Arabidopsis thaliana: one gene and its partners. The protein of the gene in region 1 purifies or fractionates together with the protein of each later gene. This does not show direct contact. Each region holds a gene or a part of one and is shown on either strand. Other genes may lie near its edges.

What was found. Proteins that work in one complex are often made in the same cells at the same time.
Region 2: the proteins of ACO3 (region 1) and MS2 fractionate together in Arabidopsis thaliana (co-fractionation; one large-scale study listed by BioGRID). This does not show direct contact.
Region 3: the proteins of ACO3 (region 1) and IMD3 fractionate together in Arabidopsis thaliana (co-fractionation; one large-scale study listed by BioGRID). This does not show direct contact.

What each region holds. Positions count from the first base shown.
Region 1 is NC_003071.7:2,139,447-2,147,180, forward strand, and holds ACO3 (aconitase 3), read left to right. Parts: upstream 1-1,882; 5' UTR 1,883-2,144; coding exon 2,145-2,424; intron 2,425-2,517; coding exon 2,518-2,622; intron 2,623-2,699; coding exon 2,700-2,953; intron 2,954-3,037; coding exon 3,038-3,223; intron 3,224-3,400; coding exon 3,401-3,562; intron 3,563-3,727; coding exon 3,728-3,872; intron 3,873-3,965; coding exon 3,966-4,108; intron 4,109-4,180; coding exon 4,181-4,237; intron 4,238-4,324; coding exon 4,325-4,404; intron 4,405-4,489; coding exon 4,490-4,565; intron 4,566-4,696; coding exon 4,697-4,882; intron 4,883-4,964; coding exon 4,965-5,032; intron 5,033-5,124; coding exon 5,125-5,243; intron 5,244-5,355; coding exon 5,356-5,477; intron 5,478-5,588; coding exon 5,589-5,687; intron 5,688-5,766; coding exon 5,767-6,246; intron 6,247-6,333; coding exon 6,334-6,432; intron 6,433-6,514; coding exon 6,515-6,757; intron 6,758-6,835; coding exon 6,836-6,904; 3' UTR 6,905-7,232; and 1 more. UniProt on the Arabidopsis thaliana protein: Catalyzes the isomerization of citrate to isocitrate via cis-aconitate. Contributes to oxidative stress tolerance. Modulates cytosolic citrate metabolism during lipid mobilization. Required during seedling growth.
Region 2 is NC_003074.8:955,159-961,568, reverse strand, and holds MS2 (methionine synthase 2), read right to left. Parts: upstream 4,708-6,410; 5' UTR 4,434-4,707; exon of another isoform or gene 4,280-4,433; intron 3,992-4,279; 5' UTR 3,968-3,991; coding exon 3,618-3,967; intron 3,518-3,617; coding exon 3,430-3,517; intron 3,333-3,429; coding exon 3,205-3,332; intron 3,110-3,204; coding exon 2,718-3,109; intron 2,613-2,717; coding exon 2,449-2,612; intron 2,363-2,448; coding exon 2,282-2,362; intron 2,175-2,281; coding exon 2,008-2,174; intron 1,915-2,007; coding exon 1,809-1,914; intron 1,727-1,808; coding exon 1,274-1,726; intron 1,198-1,273; coding exon 829-1,197; 3' UTR 537-828; downstream 1-536. Other genes in the region: AT3G03776 (hydroxyproline-rich glycoprotein family protein), read left to right, coding at 6,346-6,369. UniProt on the Arabidopsis thaliana protein: Catalyzes the transfer of a methyl group from 5-methyltetrahydrofolate to homocysteine resulting in methionine formation.
Region 3 is NC_003070.9:11,141,925-11,146,396, reverse strand, and holds IMD3 (isopropylmalate dehydrogenase 3), read left to right. Parts: upstream 1-1,679; 5' UTR 1,680-1,734; coding exon 1,735-2,129; intron 2,130-2,198; coding exon 2,199-2,310; intron 2,311-2,381; coding exon 2,382-2,546; intron 2,547-2,620; coding exon 2,621-2,707; intron 2,708-2,786; coding exon 2,787-2,903; intron 2,904-2,999; coding exon 3,000-3,107; intron 3,108-3,191; coding exon 3,192-3,398; intron 3,399-3,485; coding exon 3,486-3,554; 3' UTR 3,555-3,936; downstream 3,937-4,472. Other genes in the region: IMPL1 (myo-inositol monophosphatase like 1), read right to left, coding at 1-186, 279-331, 397-454, 555-643, 742-875, 986-1,053, 1,237-1,536.

The DNA.
Region 1 (7,734 bases):
AAAAGTATTCATATGAAAAGAATTAAAAAAAAAAGCATAAATTAAAGCAGTATTTAAGTCAATACTTTTAGATCTTCTCTCATTGCATATATCAATATAAGAGAAATGATCGTGTATTAAATTATTTGGTAAGTCTAACGTTTTAAAGGTTTATTATTTGAAAAAACTTGAGTGTCAATGTTATCAAAGACTCAAAATAAAATTACTAAACTAATAAGAGGTTAGGTAACGAACAAGTACAACACAAAAAAATTAGTAAAATAAAAAGAGTATAATAAAAGTAGTGCTTAATTTATTAACATAATTTTTTATTTTATTTTTATCTTGAAAAAATCAATTAAGAGTAGGATTGATGATACATTTAATTTGCTTATTTAATATGATTAATATTTTAATTTAAAAAATATAGAATGACACATGTCATTTTTTTGTGTGATGATGTGTCATTCATATGGAAAGAGTTGGCCAACTTTCATATATATGATTAGATTTCTAAATGATCATTGCCGTAATATTAGTAAAGATGTGTCCAGTGTTTTAGCAATTTTTACCAAACTAATTTTGATTTACATCTTTAATTAAATATTTCATTTATTAATAATTAATGTCAATAGCATGACATTGTAAATAAGTTCAAGTACAAGATTTATTTGTTAAAGTAGCTGAAAAATGTATATGTAGATTTTAGATCTCTAAATAAGATTAACATAAGAAATCTGTATCGGTCTAACTAATGATGAATCGCGAAGGACAACGTTAGAAAACTAATGACGAAAATATGTTCATGAGAATAATATATACTAAACTAATAAGAGGTTTGGTAGCAAACAACTACAACACAAAAAAAAGTCATTATCTAGTAGTGATTATTGATAATAAAAATTTAATAAAATAAAGAGTATAATGAAAGTAGTGCTTAATTTATTAACATAATTTTTTTTTATTTTATTTTGAATCAATTAAGAATAGGATTAATCATACATTTAATTTTAGAGTATTTATAATAAATGACTATAGATTTGAAAAGAATGTACAAACTAACCTTGAGTCACAGTATCTTGTCGGAAACATGTTGGAGAACACTTGTTATTTTCTCTTATTACATAGTATTTATAAAAAGCACATGCTATTTTTTGGAAAAAACATTGTATTCAGTTTAATATATCTTTTTATCATGATATTTTGTAGTAATACACGTTTTTTATTGAGATCACACGTGATTTCTTTAAAAATATTCTTATTTTTTAGTAATACATGGTTTTTATTAAAATCACATATAATTTTTGTTTTAAGATTCTGTTCATGTAAAAGAATTTCATAATAATGTTTTAAAAAAAAAAATTCATAACGTATTATGAAATAGCATGTTTTTAAACTAAATATAACATGTGAAATTTTAATGTTACATGATATTTTGAAAAATTACACGGATGTGTTTCGTTTACTTTTCATCTTACAACAAATAAAGGATAGCTTTATTATTTCCTTTCTTCCGACAACGTGGGTCCATGGTTATTTTGTAACAAAAAACTTTATCTCTGCTAGTTTCTTAATTTGTATGTTTTATTTGGTTATCTACTAATATTACCTTTAATTTTATTATTTTTTAAATTTAAAAATATAGAATGATATATGTCAAACTTTTGTGTGATGCTTTTGTGTGATGGTGTGTCATTCATATGGAGAGTGTTGACCAATTTTCATATATATATGATTATATATTAAGAAACTATATATTACGTTGTCTTTTTCAAACAGGTAAAAATGTTATGAGATTTATTTGATTTTTAAGTAATTATTTAAATTAAAATAAATAAAAATATATATTATTTTAATAATAGGGGCTAAATAGAAATTATGTGGAGGAGAGGGGCTGCGTAGATTAAAATCCAAAAAATACCGTAAACAAAAAAAAATATTCCCTTGCGAGAGAGGGAAGATTGACTTATTGGCACGCAGCCCTAGGCATTTTCGTTTCGTCTCCACACGCCTCTCTCTCTCTCTCGCTTCTTCAATCATTCATCACTCCGACGTCAGATTCAAAATCCTCCATGATCGATCCCAATTGATCAATCAATAACCTTATCTTCTTCATCTTCTCTGTCAGTATCTGAATCTGCATCTGGAAGCGTGATTTCATCATCATGTATTTAACCGCTTCATCTTCCGCTTCTTCCTCCATCATCCGAGCTGCTTCTTCTCGCTCTTCTTCTCTTTTCTCTTTCCGATCGGTTTTATCTCCCTCCGTTTCATCTACTTCTCCGTCGTCTCTTCTCGCTCGTAGATCTTTTGGTACCATTTCCCCTGCTTTCCGTCGCTGGAGCCATTCCTTTCACTCGAAACCATCTCCGTTTCGCTTCACCTCTCAGATCAGAGCTGTTTCTCCAGTCTTAGATCGTCTCCAGAGAACCTTCTCTTCCATGGGTAAAATATCTCGATCTGATTGATCTAGCTTGAGTTTTTTATTCCGATCTCTGTTGATTAGTAGTAACTGTTTTGTGATTATGATTGTTTCAGCGTCAGAGCATCCGTTTAAAGGGATCTTCACTACACTTCCTAAGCCTGGTGGTGGTGAATTCGGAAAGTTCTATAGCTTACCTGCTCTTAACGATCCACGAGTTGGTATGGATTTTTTGAATCTCTCTTTGAATGAGTTTATGAAGGACCTGAGAATCTGAAGAGGAGTGTTGTATTTGCAGATAAACTTCCTTACTCTATTAGGATTCTGCTTGAATCTGCGATTCGTAATTGTGATAACTTTCAAGTTACTAAGGAAGATGTTGAGAAGATTATTGACTGGGAAAAGACATCTCCTAAACAAGTAGAGATTCCTTTTAAACCAGCTCGTGTTCTTCTTCAGGACTTTACGGGAGTCCCAGCTGTTGTTGACCTTGCTTGTATGCGTGATGCGATGAATAAGCTGGGAAGTGATTCCAACAAAATCAATCCCTTGGTATGTTTTTGTTTGCCACAGATTGATGCTTTTTGTTTAGGTTAGGGTTCTTTTAGATTTCTTATGTTATACTGTGTCTCTCAGGTTCCGGTGGATCTTGTGATTGATCACTCGGTTCAAGTAGATGTAGCTCGATCAGAGAATGCAGTGCAAGCAAACATGGAGCTTGAGTTCCAGAGGAACAAGGAGAGGTTTGCTTTCCTTAAATGGGGTTCTACTGCGTTCCAGAACATGCTTGTTGTGCCTCCTGGCTCTGGTATTGTGCATCAGGTAATTCTCTTTTTTAAAGTGTGCGAGTCCATAAGTTGTTTCTAAACTTGTTCTGACATTGATATATATCCTTTTCAACCTCATGTTTCCAGTGTATTGAAATGTTTCTTTTCATTTATTATCTTCTTTTATCTGTCTTGAAGTTTGTCTCAAACTAACCTCATCTTGAAAATTCAGGTCAATTTGGAATATCTTGGAAGAGTTGTGTTCAATACCAAAGGCCTTCTCTACCCAGACAGCGTGGTTGGAACTGATTCACATACAACTATGATTGATGGTTTGGGAGTTGCTGGATGGGGTGTTGGGGGTATTGAAGCTGAGGCAACAATGCTTGGCCAGGTAAATTATTTTGATTATTTACATGACGCACATCAGATGTTGGTTAATCTGGAGTCAACTTTACTGAATTTTAGATTAGATCACTATATTTTATGACTCTTCTGCTCCAATACAGTGAGGTTTGTGAATTTTTCTTATACTGATAACGCTTTTTTGGTTTGACAGCCCATGAGTATGGTATTGCCTGGTGTTGTTGGATTCAAACTTGCCGGAAAAATGCGTAATGGTGTAACAGCTACTGATTTGGTTCTAACAGTGACTCAAATGCTGAGGAAGCATGGCGTTGTTGGAAAGTTTGTTGAGTTTTATGGTAATTATATCCTTGTGAGCTCTTAAGTGTTTTGCTCTTTTATAATAGACATGTGTTTGTTGGAGCATTATAAGTCTACTTTTTTCTTCTTAGGTAATGGCATGAGTGGGCTGTCCCTAGCTGACAGGGCGACAATTGCCAATATGTCTCCCGAGTATGGTGCAACCATGGGCTTCTTCCCTGTGGATCATGTTACTCTACAATATCTCAAATTGACTGGAAGAAGCGATGAGACAGTGAGTGTTTGACTTTAATCTTCCTTCTATATATATTCAGATATCTGGTCTGATACAATACTTTCATGGCAGGTGGCTATGATTGAAGCATATCTTCGGGCTAACAATATGTTTGTTGACTACAATGAGGTAAATTAGCCTTATACTTTCTTTCTTTTTTTGTTTCTTAATCTCCTTTCAGGTTTTTATTTGACTTTGCTTGTGAATAAATTTCAGCCTCAGCAAGACCGGGTTTACTCGTCATATCTAGAACTGAATCTGGATGATGTTGAACCTTGCATTTCTGGACCAAAGCGGTATGGGTTCTGTTGGTTTTTGTAATCGCGAAGTTTATTGTCTGAATAATTGGTCATGACCATATTATTGATATCTTCTTTGCAGGCCACATGATCGTGTTACTTTGAAGGAAATGAAAGCTGACTGGCATTCATGTCTTGACAGTAAAGTTGGGTTCAAGGTATGTAACTGGATGTTTCACTTTGTGGATGTCTAATCTCTTAACCATTTACTCGTTCTATAGACTGGGTTGTTGGTGCACATTTTGGAAATCAATGTTTATTTCTGAATATTGCTATTCATTCTCCGCAGGGTTTTGCTATACCTAAAGAGGCACAAGAAAAAGTGGTAAATTTTTCGTTCGATGGACAACCAGCAGAGCTTAAACATGGAAGTGTGGTGATTGCTGCAATCACAAGCTGTACTAATACATCAAATCCCAGCGTCATGCTTGGTGCTGGTCTTGTTGCAAAGAAGGCTTGTGACCTTGGGCTACAGGTTGGTTTCACGAGAGCAAACTAGAAATCTATCTGATGCCTCGACATTTTCTGATCCCTTTTTCAAAAACTTGCCTCTGTAGGTTAAGCCTTGGATAAAGACAAGTCTTGCTCCAGGCTCAGGAGTTGTTACAAAATACTTATTAAAGAGGTATGTCGTATTTTTATCTAGTTCTTCGTTGTTAAAGGCTAATTCTTTCTTATGTGATGGTAAATTTAAGTGTAACATCTTACTCCATGCAGTGGATTGCAAGAATATCTGAATGAACAGGGTTTCAATATTGTCGGCTACGGGTGCACTACATGCATCGGGAATTCTGGGGAAATTAATGAATCAGTGGGAGCTGCTATTACCGAAAATGGTATTATTGAGATTCCCAACTAAACTTACTTTGGACTTTCCATCCTTTATATTACTATTATATATAAGTAAGTAGCTGATTTGTTTTCAATATTTGTGTTGCTTGGTTTTAGACATTGTGGCGGCTGCTGTGCTATCCGGTAACAGGAACTTTGAGGGGCGTGTTCATCCACTAACAAGAGCCAATTACCTTGCATCTCCTCCGTTGGTGGTTGCCTATGCTCTTGCTGGCACGGTAATAAATCTTGAGAACTTGTCAAAGTTCAACTTACATTTTGTATGAGATAATGACACATGACTGATTATCACATTGGTAATTTTGGCGTTCTTCTTTCTTATTTTCCAGGTTAACATTGACTTTGAAACGGAGCCTATTGGCAAAGGAAAGAATGGCAAGGACGTCTTCTTAAGAGATATCTGGCCAACCACGGAAGAAATTGCTGAGGTATATACGACTTAACCAGAGAACAATAACATCTTTTTTATACACAAATATTAAACTAATCTTTTGACATATGGATCAGGTTGTTCAATCCAGTGTTTTGCCTGACATGTTCCGAGCAACGTACGAGTCAATCACCAAGGGTAACCCCATGTGGAATAAGCTGTCTGTTCCTGAGAATACCCTCTACTCATGGGATCCCAACTCAACTTACATTCACGAGCCTCCATACTTCAAGGACATGACCATGGATCCTCCTGGTCCACACAATGTGAAGGATGCTTACTGTTTACTCAATTTTGGGGACAGTATCACCACTGATCACATCTCACCAGCTGGAAACATCCAAAAGGACAGTCCTGCTGCAAAGTTTCTCATGGAGCGTGGCGTTGACCGTAAGGACTTCAACTCATATGGAAGTCGCCGTGGGAATGATGAAATAATGGCCAGAGGTACTTTTGCTAATATCCGTATCGTTAACAAGCTCATGAATGGTGAAGTTGGCCCTAAGACTGTTCACATTCCATCTGGAGAGAAGCTCTCAGTCTTTGACGCTGCCATGGTTTGTATTTATCTAATTAAAATTTGTATTACTGACTGTATGTTGATCATGTCGAATGTCTCCTTATCATAATGTCAAATGTATCAGAGGTACAAGTCATCTGGTGAAGACACAATTATTCTGGCTGGAGCTGAGTATGGAAGTGGTAGCTCACGTGATTGGGCTGCCAAGGGACCCATGCTACAGGTTTAGAACCGCTTCTCTAGTTTCTTTCCGCATAAACCAATCTTACTGTTTTATTCTGAAACAACAAGTTTGGGATTGTCAGGGTGTTAAAGCGGTGATTGCAAAGAGTTTTGAGAGGATTCACCGAAGCAACTTGGTGGGAATGGGAATCATCCCATTGTGCTTTAAGTCCGGTGAAGACGCAGATACTCTTGGATTGACTGGTCACGAACGCTACACGATCCATCTCCCAACCGATATCTCAGAGATAAGACCTGGCCAAGATGTTACCGTCACTACCGACAACGGAAAATCTTTCACTTGCACAGTCCGCTTCGACACAGAGGTAACTAAATACTCCAATCTTTAGTGAAAAAAAGCTTTTCAATGTGAAGGAACTAATAATGGTAAAATAAATGTGCAGGTGGAATTGGCATACTTTAACCATGGAGGCATACTTCCATATGTTATCAGAAACTTGAGCAAGCAATAGTGAAGGAAGCAATACACAAGTTATGGAGCAAAATAAAAGAGTGTTTGTTTCTGTTTTAAAATGTCTTTTTTAAAAGGCAGATAAGTCTGTCTAGGATTAGGTTAAAAGGTGAGTGATCTCATGCAATATATGAGTTTCAGTGGGTTATTCTTACACGCTTAGGCTCCCATGTTTCGCAACTTGCAAGAGTTGAATATTATTGTTTTTGAAAAGGAATAAGAGAGCCTTCTTGCATATTCCCATTACTGACTCCCAAAGACCTCGCAATCTGTTGCATTTCACAAGCGTATTCAGCAGCATCTATACCAATTCTCAGATCATGTTCAAGAACACCTGCTCTATTCAAATCTACTTGCACCATTAGAGTAACCAACTAATACATAAGAAACACAAACATCTTGCAGCTGAAGCCTAAAACCAATACAAGAATCTGATAAAACCAAACTGAAACTTGTCATAAATTCCATATGAACCTGAGAGTAATCTCCTGTGTCTGAATGAAGTAACTTGCCAGCATCTTCTTCCATATGAACCCTAGTAATACCAAAATCTCCTATGTCCACCACCAAACTCAAGAGGAATATCCAAATCTGATAACCTTGAAGAAGATCTGGATAAAAATACTGCTTCCTATCGAATTTAGACTTAAGAGACAAATCACAATTCAAAGCTAACCCCAATAACCCACTTTTTTAATAGATTTCCTTTCTTTCTTTCTGATCCATCTCGTTTACTTTGCTATAAATAAGAGCTTTGGTAAGCCAAACCTTCTTGTCTTCTAAGTGAACTAGTCTTGTCACGAGCTTCTTCTAGATCTTGTTTCAAAAGTT
Region 2 (6,410 bases), on another chromosome or scaffold:
AAAAAAAAAAAAAATGCATAATGTGACGCGTCAGCTCTCGTGACATAAATCGGACTACGTGGATATCTTTGATTGGATGTTATGCCTTTTCTTTGCCAGCCAAATGTCCACGTCACGGAGCGGTGAAAGAATGTTAAGTTTAAGCAAATTTTTACTTTTACAGGGTTTTTTTTTTTGGGTTCACTTTTGCAGTGTTATTGTGTAACTTGCGTTCGGTGATAAAGTTTATAAATTTCTGGAAAAGAAATTCCACATAAAATGAAATACCGCACTTTTGGTACTTTGAAAAGAAATGCTTACACCATGCAAAAGAAATGGTTAACAAGACATGAAAATATAGTACTACTTTTGGTTCTCTGGTATACCACGTCAAGTGATCTTTACATGCACGAATCGAGCATTCCAAAGGTTCGAAACTGTGTCCTTTTTCATGGTATCAAATCAAATCTTTTTGTAGTATGGTGGATGATCTTATAACAATAATGGATTATTTTCAGCAAATTCTTTAGTTCTACAACACTAGTAGTGATTTTAAGATTTCACATTTTGGGGGCTTGTATAACAAATTAATTCGTATCCACACTTTCAAGAGATCAAAGAAGCATATATTTCATTAGAGAAAACAAAGATACATATAACATTGCAACAAGAGAAACATATAGTATAAAGCCGTAAACTCTCTTCAACGAAAGCGAGAGAGTGTGACTCCATTCCCTCAAAACCTAACTTTGGCTAAAATATTTTTCTTGGAAGAAAAGTTATTGAAACTGAACAAACACAAACCACGTAGAAAAATCCCGGAATATAGAAATAATATCTTCAAGCTCTTCACTTGGCACTACCGAGCTGGGAGCGGATAAGCTTAGCCGCGTCAACCATGGCTTTAAGTGCTGGTTTAACCTCAGTGTACTTCCTTGTCTTCAGACCACAGTCAGGGTTAACCCACAAGATGTTCTGCTCAAGAACCGCAAGCATCTTGTTGATCCTGTCTGCAATTTCATCTGTGGATGGTATTCTCGGAGAGTGAATGTCGTAAACACCAGGACCGATTCCTGCACCGTACTTCACTCCTTCACGGAACACTGAGAGAAGCTTCTCGTCTGAACGAGAGTTCTCAATGGTGATGACATCAGCGTCCATGTCAATGATTGAGTGGATGATGTCGTTGAAGTTTGAGTAACACATGTGAGTGTGAATCTAGAAGATAAAATAAAGAAGTTAGTTGCAGAAACATTCATCACTATTTGAGATTTTAAGTGTACAGTGTTGTTACCTGAGTGCTGTCTTGGACGCCACAGTTGGTGATTCTGAAAGAGTGAACAGCCCAGTCCAAGTAGAAAGAGTGTTCGGCTTTCCTAAGAGGCAATCCTTCTCTAAGTGCGGCTTCATCGATCTGAATGACTCCAATACCGCCTTTCTCGAGGTCTTCCACTTCATCTTTGATGGCCAAAGCGATCTGGTAACAGGTTTCGTGCCTGGGCTGGTCGTTTCTGACAAAAGACCAGTTGAGAATTGTGACTGGACCTGTAAGCATACCCTTCATTGGACGTTTGGTCATGCTCTGAGCTGTTGAGGACCAGAAGACTGTCATTGGCTTGGGGCGGCTCACGTCACCATAGATAACTGGTGGCTTCACACAGCGAGATCCATAGGATTGCACCCATCCGTTTGCTGTGAATGCGAAACCTGACAATTGCTCTCCAAAGTACTCAACCATGTCGTTTCTCTATAATATTGTCAAAGCATGGCTGAGTCAGAAACAGGACGTTGTAATTAGTTTTAGGGTCTAGTAAGAGACAAAGACTGACCTCAGGCTCTCCGTGAACAAGAACATCAATGTCAAGGTCCTCTTGGATGTCAACAACTTTCTTGATCTCTTCCTTGATGGCCTTGACGTAATCCTCTTCAGAGATTCTAGTAGAAGAAAGAGTTCCAGTTAGCATCACAATCAACTTACTAAACATGCTTAAATGATCAATGCAAAAAAATTATGATTAAGAGACTAACTTCTTGGCCTTGTATTCACGGCGAACTCTCCTGAGTTCCACGGTCTGTGGGAAGGATCCAATGGTTGTGGTTGGGAGGATTGGAAGGTTAAGCTTCTTCTGCTGAGCATCTAGCCTTGCGCTAACTTCAGTTGTACGGCGGTGGTCAGATCCCTTCAAAGCAGCAGCCTGAGATTGCAGGAATTACAAATCATTAGGATCAATAGAAACATATATCATACAGAGAAAACCATCATAATAGTAAAGAAAGCTTGAGTATGAAAGCAAGAACTTACAGCCTTCTGGACAGACTCATTGGTGACTCTTGGGGAAGACCTCCTCGAAGACAATGCGTCAGCGTTGGCAGTGAAGAAACTCTGAAAGAGAGAAATATTAGAGACTTGAAGTCTTTTTCAAACAAAGGGTTCACTTGGGAAACATGTTTGTAGGATTTTTACAATACCTCATTTGTCTGACCGGCCAAAGCCTTGGCCAATGCGTCAACTTCAACAACCTTCTGGGCAGCAAAAGCTAGCCACGACTTGATTTCAGCATCAAGCTTAGTCTCGTTAATAAGGTCAACGGCAGTGTGGAGAAGAGAGCAAGAGGTTGAGACCACAAGCTTGTCTGCACCAATTCACAAATAACAAAACCAACGAGTTAGAGAAAGATAACAAATTAAACACTTCTAATTGAGTAATCCACATAAGAGATTCTGGAAGAATATAATACCTTTACCAACAACACCCTCAAGTGACTGCAAGGTGATGAGAGAGGCAGCGAGGTCATTGGCCCAGATGTTCCTTCCGTCAACAACACCAGCAAAGAGGTACTTGCCCTGTGGGAAACCTGACTTGATCAAGTCAATGGTCTTGGTGCCACGAACCAAATCAAATCCGAAGGCAGTCACACCCTTCAAGGAAGTAAGGGTCTTGTATGCTTCAGCAGGGATATCAGCGAAGTAGGTCTCCACAAGAACATTCAGACCAGAGAGAGTTGATTCAAGCTCAGCATAGGCACCGCTAAAAGCCTGGAGTTTGTGACCCTCGAGATCCATGACAAAGAGAGGCTCATCAAGCTGAATCCAGGAGGCACCAGCTGCCTTAAGCTCTGCAATGACTTCCCTGAGAAAAGATTCACCATTCCAATAGTATGTCAGAAACAAATTTCCTAGCGTCAAAGAGAATAATTGAGTACTAGAGCAAAAGTAATCTCTTACTTGTAAACTGGGAGGATTTTGGGGAGAAGGGAGAGAAGATCAAATGACTTGTCAACACCCTTAGCAAGCTTGGAAAGAAGCAAGTAAGAGACAGGGCCAACAAGTACAGGGACGGTCTCAACACCAAGCTGCATTAACAACACCACATTACTATATTAGAACATTCAATACCAGACCAAAAGAAGCCTATATATGTTCAAATAGGAAAATTAGTTGAGTACGTACAGCCTTGGCCTCCTTGTACTCATTGACAGCCTTGTGAGATGCGTAAGAAAATTTCACTTCAGGGCCCAACTCTGGGACGATGTAATGGCTGCATCAAACAGAAACATTAAAAAAATACGTTAATAACACAACTCACAAATCCAATAACAATGTCAACACACAAGTTAAAGAGTAGAGAAGAAACTCACTAGTTGGTGTCAAACCACTTGGTCATCTCCATAGCTGGAACAGAGGCATTTCCTCTAGCCATGGAGAAGTAAACATCGAGACCGATCTCACCACTGGTAAATCCATATCTAGATGGAACAGCACCAAGCATGGCGGTGGTGTCAAGCACCTGGTCATAATGAGAAAAGGTGTTGCTTGGGATATACTTAATCCCAGCAGCAGACATCTGTTTCCAGATATCAGACCTGAGATCAGCAGACACCTTCTGCAAATCATCGGCACTGCTCTTGCCATCCCAGAAAGACTCCAATGCAAACTTGAGCTCTCTCTTAGGTCCCATACGTGGATATCCAACAATGTGGGAAGCCATTTTTGTTTGTTTTTTGTTTTTTTACTACATTTGAACCACAAACAAAACCAAAATCAGTCAGTAAACCAAACACAATCCTAAAATGTACTTCTTGTCATATGGTAAAAGCCACCAATCGTTAAAAAAGTAAAAAACTTTTGCAGTTTTTTTTGTCGTATTTATTGAAAACAGAGTATGAGAGAGTTTAAAGATCAAAACGAATCACAACTAGGGAAAACAGAGATCTAACGCAGAGAAAGATCGCAAAACAGAGATTTTACGAATCTGATCGTATAAAAAATCCAGATCTGTGTTTCATAGAATTTCACTCACCGGATTAAGATCTAAGTATTAACGAACGAAGAAGAAACGGAATCAAACGAAAATTGAATTGAGAAGAAAACGAAGAGACGGAAGGTAAATAAGAGAGTGGGAAGGGAGAGAGCAAGAATAGTCATGCGGAAGCCATGGAAACTCGGAAGCGTACCTTACGGAATGAGAAGAGTGGAGATGAGAGATGGGCAAAGAGAGCGACGATGGAGAGTGTTCTGTGTTAAGCTTATTTATAGCAAATCAATTACACATCGTTCCTTGGTTTCTCTCACTCACTCGTGGTGGCTGATTATTTTTCTATTTAAATTAATAATACGTACATGTACATCAAAATACGTATATTTAGGTTTTTACCCTCTCTACAACATTATACTATATGATAAATAAAAATACGTGTAATCCATGTATCCAGAATGATACTAATTTTTATCTTTCAAATTTAAGGGCACGGTCAATTATATACAACTTTCGAGAATTATACGTATAACGACGGTTTACATAATAAAAAAATGTATTTGATCATGGCATGACATTACAATTATATAAGCTGGTAGAACTTAATTCCGTTGAATTAGTACTAGTTTACTGGTAATTTTAGTTGACTTTTGTCAAGTCCTCACTGGCTAGTTAAAGCTTAAAACAATTGTTTAAGGGTTAATTAAGGGGTTAGTGTATGTTGTATTGTAAAGCGTAGTATTAATTAAGATATAAGAGCTTAAGAGGGGATTAATTATGGAATTGAAAATGTGAAGGTGGGGAGGAGAGTTGGTGTGTGTTGTTTGTGAAGAGTATACATGAGGAGAAGGAGGTAGCGGGATTGGTGGGTGGAGCCCATTAGGGAGTTGGTGAGATATTCACTTTTAATTTCATTTTTGGGAGTCAGTACCAACAATTCTTGCCACACAAATTTGGAGATTTGTTTGGTAAACAAAGTTGGTGAATGATTATGAGATCCTCCACGTCCCTCTTATGGTTTGATCTTCACATAATTTTTTTTATTCAACAATGACGTTTGAAACCTATTAACCATAAGTTGTCATAATATTCACCTTAATGAGGAATATACGTCTATAATGTATGTAAAGAAGTCTAGTATGAAATGGTAAACTAGTTCAGTAAAGAATATTCAATGCTCTGTTTGGACGACTAATACGAAAATTCTATGTTTCGAATAAAGAAGTGTATTTCTACCATCTCTTGTAACTTGTTTTGTAGCAAGAACTCTTTTTTTTAATGCTTTCACATGAGAAAGTCCGTTCTTTTGTTTTTCGACTCAAAAAACTTTAATCCATCAAGACGCTTAACAAGTAACTTCAAATTTCAAAACAAAACACAGAAATATTTGTATCCGGTAAATTTTATATTTCCTCACAATATCCAACATCGGTCTATTCCGAAGCATTAGTAGATCAGTAGATGCCTTGCTATGGTTTTGTCGGCTGTCGGTGGGATATAGATATAAAAACGCACGACCATTTAATGAGACATTTTTTTTTTCTTATTTCTCGCTAATGCCTAATGTATCATGCGTATTCGGTATTCCCAAAGTAAAAGAATTTGACAAAATGTTCCGACTAATATATACTTGTGCGTCTTGAAATATCGCATTACACATTACATACCTAATTTACTTTCAATTTTTTTTGTAAGAAAGTTAAATGAATAAACACGTTTACATATCATCAATCCTACAGAATATACTATAAGTTTTAACGGCGAGATCACATGCAAGAGACGATAAAGTTTCCATACTTTGAAAAGAGAATATGATATTCAATATATAAGGAAACTAAAAGAATTCATATATCCATAGATTGATATCTCTTATCATAAGGAAAATAAAAAATTCATAGACGATATACTGATATCCATAGATCGAAATTTTTTACTAATTAAGGAAAATAAAAAATTCATAGATTGATATCTCTTATCATCATATATCCATATTTCCAAAATATAATAAAAGAAGAAACTTTTCTTCACCACCCAAAACCTCCCAAATTTTTTGTTTTCCTAAGGTTTCTCAAGAGCAGGAACAAATAACAAAACATATCTAATCTAGATCGATGGAATCATCTTCCAATCACATGGTATGCGTAAACGCATAATAGATTGTAAGATTTGTGTATAT
Region 3 (4,472 bases), on another chromosome or scaffold:
CTTTAAACGGTACTCCCAATATGATTCCGCAATCCCAAGTGCAACATGACACATGTCAACTGCAGCAGCACCGAGTCTTCGCACTCCCCGACTCACATCAGTAAACTCTTTGAACAGTTCCATGTTAGTGCTCCATGCATCATCATGTTCATAACCAAACCCTGTGATAAGAAGTGCTCTCTCCACCTTCATTCAAACCCGAATAAATATCTAATAAACCAAAACCATTGAACACACCATGTCGAAACTTAAAATTGGATTCTTGATAAGTTACTTACAGCATCGGTCTTACTGACATGAATTTTTTGCCCGTTACACAATGCTCCACCACCTAAGAAGTGAACTAGTTAGACAAAATTTAGATATATAGCCAAACATAAGCTTGTCACATAGTACCTGCAGTTGCAGAAAAGGTTCGAGTGTTCCAGCACATCGGACCACCGACAAACTCTACCTGCATGATGAGATTTTGTTGTTAATCCTACTGACCAAAGAATCAGCAAATAGGAACTAACAAGCATTAGCTGGTTTGTGCAAGTATATATTGGATTTACCACAGAAGCAGCGGCGGGATTTCCACGATACAGAACACCGACGGAAACAGCAAAACTGGGATATCCATGAGCAAAATTTGTAGTTCCATCTATGCATAAAGGAATTAAGAGACTAATACTAAAAATCTCAGAGATTCCACACAAACACATGAAAAGAAAGCAATGAGATTTGTAAAGAGAGCTAAACCTAGAGGATCAATGCACCAGAGGTAATCAGAAGACGAATCGCCGATGATACCTCCTTCTTCACCAAGAATAAGATGATCACTAAAATTCTTCTTCACTACTTCCAAAATAGCAGCCTCGCTTGCTTTATCAGTACTGCAAATTCATCAAAAGTACTAAAACTTTAATAGCTTCAACCAATCAAGTCAACATGAACATAGTTAAAACCTCAAGCTAACAATTTTAAAAGGTGAAGAAGTCCTTACTCAGTTACTAAGTCACTGAGACCTTTATAAGTAATATTCCTTGGCTTATTTACAGCTTCCATAACCACCTAACAAACCAGATGATTCAATTCAAGTTAGTTTTGTTATTATTCTCCTTGTGCAGTTGTGCCCTACGAACCCAAGAACTTGATTCTAGTACCATTGAACACAATTTCAAGTCTCATCAAGAGTTTTTGTTTCCAATAAACATAAATTCAGATATTGTATTCTACAGACATGAAATTTCGAACCTCAGCGCCGGTTTTAGCGGCGAGTTCAACGACTTCAAGGAGGTGTGCCGGAGATATAGTTCCGGTGGTTTTAGCGCCGATTCTGGGATATCGCGTCTGATCAGAAACCTCAGACAGAACAGCTTTGGTTTGAAGTCTCGTTGTGGACTTGAAGCTATTAGACAAAATCCTCGTACACCGATATCGGAAAGTTCTGTTCACTGTCCGGCCTGAAATTGGGTTTTGCAGCGGAAGAGATGATCTGGGTAAGTGAGAGATTCTCAATGACATGTTTCCAGAGAATATTAGAGACCTTCCCATTGTTGGTGTCGCCGGAGAATTTTCGAATTTTTGTTGTTGTTCGGTTTTTGGTTTATATGAACGCGGCCAAGTGAACGGATGGTGGACATGAGAGAGTCCAAAAAGCTGATAGAACTTAAAATTGAAATTAATGAGAACATTGAACCAAAATCAGGTTAACAAATAACCAGAGATAACCGGTCTCTGTAGTATACTCAAATGGTTAGTTTTTGCCGATGGTGGTGCCCTAAACTCGAAAAAAAGATGGCGGCGTTTTTGCAAACTAACATCCGTCTGGAGATCATACCGGGAAGATACAGTTCTCTCACCGATCATAAGTTTCGTGCGCCGTATCGAATTAGGTGCGCCGCCGCTTCACCGGTGAAAAAACGGTATAACATCACTCTGCTTCCCGGCGATGGTATCGGTCCAGAAGTTATATCTGTTGCTAAGAATGTGCTTCAGAAAGCTGGATTTCTCCAAGGACTAGAGTTTGATTTCCAGGAGATGCCTTTCGGCGGAGCAGCTTTGGATTTGGTCGGAGTTCCATTGCCGGAGGAAACTTCCACTGCTGCTAAACAGTCTGATGCCATTCTTCTTGGAGCTATCGGAGGGTATGTGTAATGCGTGTGTGTGTTGTTTCTTCAGCAAATTTATTCTCTTTATGATGATTTTTTGTTCAGGTACAAATGGGACAAGAATGAGAAACATCTGAGACCTGAGATGGGTCTGCTTAACATTCGAAGAGATCTCAATGTCTTTGCTAATTTGAGACCTGCTACAGTTTTACCACAGGTATTGATTTGCTTATCACTTTGCTTTCTAGTTGTAAATATACTCAAATTTTTCTGTTTTTGCTTGTTCAGCTAGTTGATGCTTCCACACTGAAGAAAGAAGTAGCACAAGGTGTTGATATGATGATTGTAAGGGAGCTCACTGGAGGTATTTACTTTGGAGAGCCAAGAGGCATTACGATCAACGAAAATGGCGAAGAAGTCGGTTTTAATACAGAGATCTACGCTGCTCACGAGGTACTACTTACTCTTCACAATCTGCTGCTCTGTGACAATGTATGTGTATTAATGCATTGCTTTATCTTCTTCAGATTGACAGAATTGCTCGTGTTGCATTCGAGACTGCTAGGAAAAGGCGTGGCAAGCTGTGTTCTGTTGACAAAGCCAATGTCTTGGATGTATGTTTTGAATTGTTTTTCCACTCCACTCTTGTGTGTTTTTCGTTATACAATTATTTTTTTGTTTTGTTTCGTATAGGCATCAATATTGTGGAGGAAAAGAGTAACAGCTTTAGCCTCTGAATATCCAGATGTTGAACTATCACATATGTATGTCGATAATGCTGCGATGCAGCTTGTCCGTGACCCGAAACAGGTGATCTTCGCGCATATATAAAGCTTAGCCGTTGATTAAGCTAACACAGAAGTGGAACTTGTAGTACTCACGGCATTTTTAAAAACATTATTGCAGTTTGACACAATCGTCACCAATAACATTTTTGGTGATATATTGTCTGATGAAGCTTCAATGATCACTGGTAGCATTGGGATGCTTCCATCTGCAAGTCTTGGTGAATCGGTAAGTAAGACTAAATCTAATATTTCAAGGTTCCTCTGTTTATTATTATCATATATTGATTGTTAAACTTGTGATGAAAACTAGGGACCTGGACTCTTTGAACCTATACATGGTTCAGCACCAGATATAGCTGGACAAGACAAGGCAAACCCATTGGCCACCATTCTCAGTGCGGCGATGCTTCTCAAGTATGGACTTGGAGAAGAAAAGGCTGCAAAGATGATTGAAGACGCGGTCGTGGATGCTCTGAACAAAGGTTTCAGAACCGGAGACATCTACTCCCCCGGAAATGTATGTGTATGATGATTTCTGTCTTTTGTTTTGTATAAGTTAATGACAATATACTTAAAGAAGTCTTTTTGTGTTTTGAAAATGCAGAAACTGGTGGGATGCAAGGAAATGGGTGAGGAGGTTCTCAAATCAGTGGACTCCAAAGTTCCTGTTTAAGAAAAGTGTGTAGCCCTTGGTTTTACTGTTACTTTTTTGCTAATACATGTATTAGAAACTGTATTCTTGTAGCTTTTATAATAATAAAATATTTGGGATCGATTCTGCAATTCAAAGACAAAATTCTCCAAGAACATTTGACAAGTCTCCTGCCTCAGTACCTTGTTCTTGAAGATTGAGAAGTTCTCGCCAACTACAAAACTCAACATCTTCTTCAATCAATATTTGTTAAACGAATAAAGTTTCAAGAGAGACAAGAAACTATGTTTTTTAGCCGCTAGAGTATTACATTTTTCTACTGAAAAACCAAACTTATAAAACATAACATTTATAAATCCGAAAACAACTATCAATCATCAGGTTAGCCTTTGGATTCACGACGACTTATCAGATTTGCGTTCAGCGTCTGCGGCAGACTGCATTTGAGCTGCATATGGTAAGTTCCAGAGAACATCTTTAAAGGAAGTCTTGCAGAAGGTTCAAGCAAAACACATTTATTGGCGATTGAGATGGCAATTGGGTAAAGACTCCTGCGAGCTTGTTGTTAGGACCGTTGGACTTCCTATTTTCTGTCGACAGTCTTGGCTCCCAAATGACGTCTGCAAATACAACATTGCAGCAACAGCTATTAACAATGATGAAGATTTGCTTCTTTTCTTTACCCTATATGATACCATTTCGTTGAGAAGATAGGCCTCTCCTTTTTGTAGTAGGTACTGGTCCTATCAGAGATTCCAGAAGTATGAATCCAAAGTTGTACACATCGCCCTCTGTTTTAGCCATTTTCCTGCATAATTCCAAAGCTAAGAAACGTGATGAATCGAAATCGTCTGTGGCTTCCTTTAACTCTTCAAAAGAAAATGACCGGAATGAGGGCACACCTTGTGCACCTAGCTTTGCTGCTTGAGAGATTAACCC